Linked DNA regions of Cricetulus griseus. The protein of the gene in region 1 purifies or fractionates together with the protein of each later gene. This does not show direct contact. Links are inferred from orthologs where the notes say so. Each region holds a gene or a part of one and is shown on either strand. Other genes may lie near its edges.

What was found. The genes of interacting proteins can lie anywhere in the genome.
Region 2: the proteins of L3mbtl3 (region 1) and Samd13 purify together in Homo sapiens (affinity purification with mass spectrometry; 3 studies listed by BioGRID and IntAct, counting the BioPlex papers as one, with this or other methods). This does not show direct contact. The link is inferred for Cricetulus griseus from reciprocal best matches to the Homo sapiens genes L3MBTL3 and SAMD13.

The regions. Positions count from the first base shown.
Region 1 is NC_048595.1:245,307,601-245,311,216, forward strand, and holds the end of L3mbtl3 (lethal(3)malignant brain tumor-like protein 3), read right to left. Parts: intron 2,360-3,616; coding exon 2,216-2,359; 3' UTR 559-2,215; downstream 1-558. UniProt on the Homo sapiens protein: Is a negative regulator of Notch target genes expression, required for RBPJ-mediated transcriptional repression. It recruits KDM1A to Notch-responsive elements and promotes KDM1A-mediated H3K4me demethylation.
Region 2 is NW_023276806.1:12,519,308-12,523,580, forward strand, and holds the end of Samd13 (sterile alpha motif domain-containing protein 13), read left to right. Parts: intron 1-2,503; coding exon 2,504-2,647; 3' UTR 2,648-3,709; downstream 3,710-4,273. Other genes in the region: dnaJ homolog subfamily B member 6, read left to right, coding at 2,504-2,531.

The DNA.
Region 1 (3,616 bases):
AAGTATGGGTGTTTGCCTGCAGTCTGTACACCGTGTATGTGCCTACTGCCTGTGGAGGCCAGAAGAAGGGGTTGGATCCCCTGGAACTGGAGTTAAAGGTGGCTGAGATCCAAGTACTCTGAACCATTGGCCTACTTCTCTAGCCTCACTACCTATGCTCTTTTGAGGCATGGTCTCTAACTAACTAAACTTGGGATTCATAAATTCACCTAGGCTTCCTAGCTTCAGGGATCCACTTGCCTTTGTTTCCACAGCACTGGGGTTACAGATATGCCTGATTTCTACACAGGTGCTGGGGATCCAAACTCAGGTCCTCATGTTTTGTAACAGGCACTTTAGCATCGAGGCAACTCCCAGACCTATGGTATCTCTAATGCTATTTATTCGTTATCGCTTTGTAGTGGAGCAGATCAAGCCCAGGGTCTTATAAATGCCAGGTAGGTGTTCAAATATATACCCAGGCCTTATATAGCTTTTCTTAGATATGATATTATTCCTGGTTTTCTCTATATCTCCTATTTAATAACCTCCTTAAAAATCATACATATATAAAAAGAATCTGTAATTAAGATTTTATTTCATTCATATCACATGTAACAAGTGCAAGTTAATGTACAAATACTGAACACAACGAAAAAGGGAAAAATAACAATAAAAAGCTTATTTAGCAGATTCATGCAAAGAAATGAATTGGACACTGCAGATGTCAGGGACCCTGTTTTACCTTGAATCATGACAAATGCAAAGGACTGATAATAAACTCCTACTATGGCACATCAAAGGAAGTCCTACATCAGAAAAACATTAAAGAGTTTATGGAAAGAGGTGGGACTCTCCCCAGAGTTCCGACAGCATGCTACTAAACTTCCTATTTTTAAAGCAGTCCTTGGACAAATGTCTAATCCTGGAATTAGAAAGTACATCAAAAGACTGACAAAATAATTTACCTTCCCCCTAGAAGTGCATGCTTACAAAAGAAACAGAGCCAGCTATGAATTTATAAATAACCCAGGGCTTTCATTTAAAGTGCATCCAGATGCTTAAAAATCAAGGCAAAATATTTCATAGGAAAAGGAATCTTTCCACATTGGAGGTTCCCAAATAATGGCTTTGGGAACCACTTCCTCGACTTGTGAGCATGGAGAATTTTGGGGTCTGCTGGTGTTAACAATGTCACACCAGGTCTGTGCAGTAACATCAATGCCCTGCTTCTCAGCTCACTCTGAGGAAATCCCCTGGGTCTGGAGGACCTATGACTGATGGGATCTCTTGAACGATTAGTGTTTCCATCAACAGAAAGAGTCCTTTTCTATAAAGCACCAGTTACTTCCATGTCATTTACAGAGATGCACACAATAATCTCCTAAATCAAGCTCCTGATGAACATCCCCTGGAATGTAACCGAATAATCCTCAGATACCCACTGGTGTAAACACATGGGCACCATGTTGTGCACAACTGATTCCGCCCAGATACACTACTTCATTCAAACCTAAGTAGGTTTATATATTTTATTTCTCAATTCTGTTCTTTTATATACATTTTTTTTGGTAATAACAGTAAAGATGCTGGTGAAAAGTAATTTGTTTAACAACTCATAATGCGTGCAAAAGTAAAAACATGGATTCAAAGAAAGATAGTATTTACAGTTCTTCAGTCCCAACAAATGATGACACACAGTTAGGCAATATCGTGACTCGCAAAGTTACACTTGGCTAATGCTGCAATTCCAAATATGGCACAGGGCGAACACGACTGACACTAGTCCCAGGCTCAACTCAGCCAGGTTTCAACGGATTTGGTTTAGGTTGAAATTCAGTTATATAAAAAGGTTTCTGAAAGTATTGAAAAAAAGAAAGTGTACATGAAAGAGAATCCAACAATGTTTACAAAATGCCGAAGTTCTTATTTTGCCCCCCATCCATAAATAATGAAGCCCCCATTTCCCCACCCTCCTCCCACCTCCAAAAGATTTACAAAGGTAAGTTTAGCTCAGTGAGCAGAACTGAAAGATGACCGTTGCTGGACAGCAGCTGGTGAGAAGCCCAGGCGTTTCCTAAGAATGTATATGCAGTCCGGAGGGACGGATGGAATCCCATAGCGCTGCTCTTGGGATCCTGGAGACTTCTCAGTCAGGAGCTAGAACCGTCCTTGTGCTTTGAATAAACATGATGAGCATTAAAGCGGAAGCTGATGGTACCCAAATTCACTGTCATCACAGTTCATTGTGGGAATTCTTCTCCGCCGCTTTAAACATCAGGATAGAATTGAAAATTTTGAGAGCTGGGCCCAGCTTAATGCTCATAATTTTCACAATGTCTGTCTGGGTCATAAGTAAAAACGCTTCTCCATCAATTTGCTGAAATAAAGGAAGGAAAAAACCAGACACAAAAGAATATGGATTAACCAGATGCATTGTTGTGGGGCTATCCAAAGCTTTATGCTGTACTATTACCTGACTTCACAACTATGCTAAGAAGACATACACCAGAGATCATGAACACAACATTCCCAATCTATGGGTCTCCACATACCCAACAAAGTAAAAGTCAATCGTCTGAAACACCTAACAGATTTAGCCTTCTACCGTGCAGGAAAATAGAGAGAGAACTTTTGTCAGCCATGGCCATAGTTAGCCTCCATAAGCAGAAGAGAAACACAAACAGTATGTGTGGAAGGACGTAAGGCCAGTGTTAAACATCATGGACTACAGGCTGTGTCTTCTGCTATTGGTGTAATTGTGTACATTCTCCTCTTCCTTGGCTCATTTTAAGATGAAAAGCTGAATTACAGAATAGGACACTTAGAAACTCACAGCCACAACATGACGAAAATGATTATTTGGGTTTAGTGCGGTGACAAATACACATACACACACACACACACACACACACACACACACACACACACACTTCAGCATTTAAGGAATTGGACGGTCTTAAGATAGATTAATTTCTTCTTCAAGTTCCCCATTTTGAACAACAACAACAACAACAAAAAGAAAGACACTGTGTTTTAAGTCTCAGAATAATTAGAAGCTTTGACCACAGTGAATGGCTTGATGGGGTTTAAACTGTATCTTCTGAAAATTCTTTTTTGTTTGTTCTGTTTTGAGATAAGGTTTCTCTTCATAGCCCTGGTTGTCTTGGAACTCATTATGTATCTAGGCTGGCCTTGAACTCACAGAGATCCACCTGCCTCTGCCTCTGGAATGCTGTGGTTAAACGTGTACACCACAACGCCCAGCTTCAAATTATTTAAAAAATTTTTTCTCCATTTTTATTTTATGTGTATTGGTGTTTTGCCTGCATGTATGACTGTGCACCACATGTGTGCACTACCTGTGAAGGACTGGAGATGGTATCTGATTCCCCTGGCACTGGAGTTATAGACAGTTGTGAGCCTCCATGTGCGTGCTGGAAATCAAGCCTGTGTACTCTGGAAGAGCAGTGCTGCTAACCACTGAGCCATCTTTGCAGCCCCTCCTTTAATTCTGTTGAATTCCTAAACCCTAGTTGTTCAGATGTGAACTTATTTGGTAATAGTGTCATTGCAACTAAGTAGCAACTGATCACATGGGTCAGGTGGGCTGCTGGTCCAGGAGGATTAGTGTCCA
Region 2 (4,273 bases), on another chromosome or scaffold:
CTCCGAACTGGTTGTGAGTTATTAAGAGTTGGCACCGTAAATGTAAACTTTTCTCTATCGCTTTCTTGTAATGGTATAGTGAAAAAGCAGTCTTTAAGGTCAATTACTATGATCGGCCATCCTTTAGGTATTAAGGAAGGCAATGGCATTCCAGGCTGCAGAGCGCCCATAGGCTGAATTACCTTATTTATGGCTCTCAGGTCTGTCAGCATTCTCCAGTTACCTGACTTCTTCTTGATGACAAATACAGGAGAATTCTAAGGGCTGGTAGATTGCTCTATGTGATCAGCCTCTAGCTGTTTCTGTACTAACTTTTCTAGAGCCTCAAGCTTTTCAGAGGTCAACGGCCATTGCCCTATCCAGACTGGTTCGTCTGTAAGCCATTTTAATGGCAGGGCCTTTGGTTCCTCTGAAGGCCTGTCATTTGTATTTAGTGTCTGTACAGCCCGGATAGTTGGTAACCATTTTCTATGGCATCTTACCCGATCTTTTCTACTATCCCACGATTGTCTAGAATTCGTATTTGACACTGGAGGGATGTTAATTTGAGTATTCCACTGTTGTAATAAATCACGACCCCATAAATTTATAGCAATATCTGCTACGTAAGGTTTCAATATTCCTTTTTGTCCTTCCGGTCCAATACAAACCATCGAGTTAACACTCCGTCGAACTCTAGATAGAGTTCCAATTCCTAAAAATTGTACATTGGCCTCTTTAAGTGGCCAATTCTTAGGCCAACATTTCTGAGTGATAATAGTCACATCAGCTCCAGTGTCCATTAAACCAGAAATAACTTTCTTGTTAATTTTAATTTTTAACTGAGGCCTTTTATCATTAATAGAAGCTTGCCAAAATATGCGTTTGTCATTTTCACCAGTCACATGTGTCTCACAAATCAACGTGAGACATTTTAGTGGCTGGACAATAAATGTTTCCCAAAGCCGAAAACATTCTGAGGCAGCTAGGAGTGATTCCTTGTTCTGCTGTTTCATGATAGGTGGCTGACAAGTAAAATGAGCTGTGGAGAGCAGGGCGACTGAGAATGACAAGGAAAGTGTGTCATGCGTAGCTCAAGGAGTACATACAGGAAGGCCTTGTGGAATCCTGTTGGAAACGCCGTGTTCCCACATCTCCCAGGAGAAGGAGGAGCAAGGGCCACAGAGTGGGAAATTCTGTAGCCCCTTTGACCTGGCACTGTTTCTCTACACTCTCAGAGTTCAACACATTTTCTCCACAGCCTGGCAAGGTCCATGAGAGTGGAGAGCAATGGCCTCCCTGGGGGATGGAGTAAAAATGGGGTCACAGTTTTATGTGGTCACCACAGTGTCTCATCGTCCCAGGCTGGTCCAGGTGTATTTAGGCAAAATGATGAACAAAACTCTTAAACACAACCGACCCAAGCCTTCTAAAGAGCTGGGTCTGCCTTAGGAGACATAGTTTCTTCTGTACACACTAACAAAAGCAGGGTCACAGATAGCATTCTCAGAGCTTCCTTTCCATAAATTCAAAGCACCTTCTCCATTCAGACAATTTTCATCTCTTTTGGGAGAAGCACATTTTAGCATCCTCTTTTGTAGTTTCCAAAACACCCGAAGGGTCCAAGGGATGAACGCTAAAGCTCCAGGGAGAGGAACTGGCAGCTTCCAGAGACCTAACCTCCACAGCTTTGTTCTTGCTCTGTTGAGAGGAAGCTTGGTAGGGAGCCTAGTTGTGAAAGACAGTGTTTTCCAAGTTGAGGGAGGACCAGAAGAGACTCTCCCAAGGGTGAGCCATGCTTACCACTGCCTACTATTACAATTAGCAGGATTTCCAGAAACCTTCTAGACTCAGGCCATCTAGATAACAAACATTTAACTGACATTAAGCAGAGGGGGCTGGGAGTAGGGTTTTGAGTAGAGTGCTGGCCCCTATGCTAATACCCTTAATGCCCTGGTTTTTCTCAAAGGGGGGATGGGAGACAGAAGAAAACTGGGCAAAGGCTGTGGACAGACAAGATTTCAACTCCATCCCCTTTCCTAATTCTTGCTGTGTCAAGCCAGTATACGTCTTGCTGGATCCTTGCTTTGCTTATAAATTAAGGATGATAATCTCTGCCTGTTGTAATTTATAGAGTGCTTTGGAAACTTAAGTATATGGGGAATTCTAGAACATTTTAATACATTTTATGGATGGAACATGTCCTTGTCCCTTTCAGAAGGAACTGCTCTGATCCCTGAGGTGGGTACACACTGTTTTAAACTTGCCCCTGAGTTTCTTAAGATTTGTGATAGGATCTTGAAAACAAGATCAGCTCTAGATTGCACTTAATCTCAAAACAGAAGATGTTTTGAAATAGAAGATGGAAGAAGATACACTAGGAGATTCCATCTTGACACTATTTCAGTGGGTTTTAGCTGGAGACGAGTGGTGTAACTTCTGCCTTCACTCTTCCCTTTATCTCCAGTACCAAGAGCTTCTTGCCTCACTCACACACTGACTTTCCCCTCTGCTTCCGTTCTAGGAAATTGATGGAAAATCCCTGCTCTTGATGACGAGAAATGACGTGTTGACAGGACTTCAGTTAAAATTGGGGCCTGCTCTGAAAATCTATGAGTACCATGTAAAACCTCTTCAGACCAAGCATTTAAAGAACAACTCTTCATAGTAAAATGAAATTGAGGTCTCAGTCCTCAAAACAAAAGACAGGGTGATGAAATTTAGTTTCTAGTTGTCAAACCTCACGAACAGAATATTTACATGTGTGTATGTAAAGAATTACGATCCAACAAAGCGTTATCCTATTGGATAGACTAGGCAATCCATTGGCTGGCCTGTCTCAGCCTGGAGGAGCAAAGCCAGAATGTGCACAGGATGGTTGTCCTTGTCAAACCGAGTCATCATTGACTCTGAGATACCCCTCCCCTCGGGGCTTTGGAATCACAAGAATTTTCTTTGCTTCATTGTAGATGGTTTTCTGTCAACTCCTTAAAAAGGGGGTGGATGTGAAATGAGGGATTTGGGTTATAGACTTAGAAATGAGTACAAACAAAACTCAGCGGGGCGGGTGAAGAGTGAGGGAGTGCTTGAATTGCTCTGCCTCTTAGCTGTGTGGATGGAATTGCCAACTCCTCTTTTTTTTGTAGAGGGTTCTCCACTTGACCTTCTTAAGGTTTCACAGGGTTGTGCTGTGCTGTGCTGTGCTGTGCTGTGCTGTGCTGTGCTGTGCTGTGTGTGAATCAAACTTGCACCAAGCTCCCTTCAGGAGCAGAACTCTCTCTGCAAAGAGAAACTTGCTTTGCACTGGACACACCTTGTGATCAACTCATTGTCACGGGGGTAAGAATATTTCCAGCTTATGTTGGTTCCTTGTTGCTGAAGAAAGCATTTAGAGGCTGTGGGGGGTTTTGTTTGTTTTTGATTTTTACTTTATGGTTTGTATTTATGGTAATTCTGAAGCTATTTGCCAAGAGTTAGTAGATCCCAAAGCTTTGTTAATAGCACAGAATATTTTTATATATATACATATATATTCCTCCATAATTCTGTAATATTTTCTTAAATGCCCTGTGCTGTGTTTGGTCCCTGGTTTGAGTACTTGTCTTTCAGAACTTGAAAAAGTGGGCTTGCTACATCTCTGTTCAAAGAGACACTTGCTGAGTGATATTTGTCCATGCCTTGTTGAGTTAGTGCTTTGTGTTTGCAATAAAACACTGCTTCAGATCACCAAGAATGTCTTCAGTTTCTTCTCATTTGATCCCTTCCTTGATGATTAAAGATTGACAACATTTCCTTGAATACCCAGGGAGAAATTTAAGCTTTAAGAAGAAAACTTCAGAGTGAATGAGATGGCTTAGTGGGCAAAGGTTCTTGCCACCAAACCTGAGGACTTGAGTTCAAGCTCTGAGTATACACATGTGCACACAAGTACACACACACACACACACACACACACACACACACACACACACACACACACAAATAATACATTTAAATTTTAAATAAAATAAAACTAAACTATGTAGACCTATATATAAATTGAATCTTATATAAGGCTAAATCACCCCCAACAGATCTCATTCCTTCTTATAGTCCACCCAGTAATCAATTTTAGTTTAACCAAGAATTTTTTTACCTGCCTATCGAAGTCATGATTTGACACAAAGCTTAGCAGAGAGTCTGTGGGCCTCTGACTTTGCCTCTTCTCCCTCTTGTAAACATTACCCTATTGCTCTACAGGGAACATTTCTCTGAAGACCATAAAATCTAATTCTATTTATTTTAAATATTATAT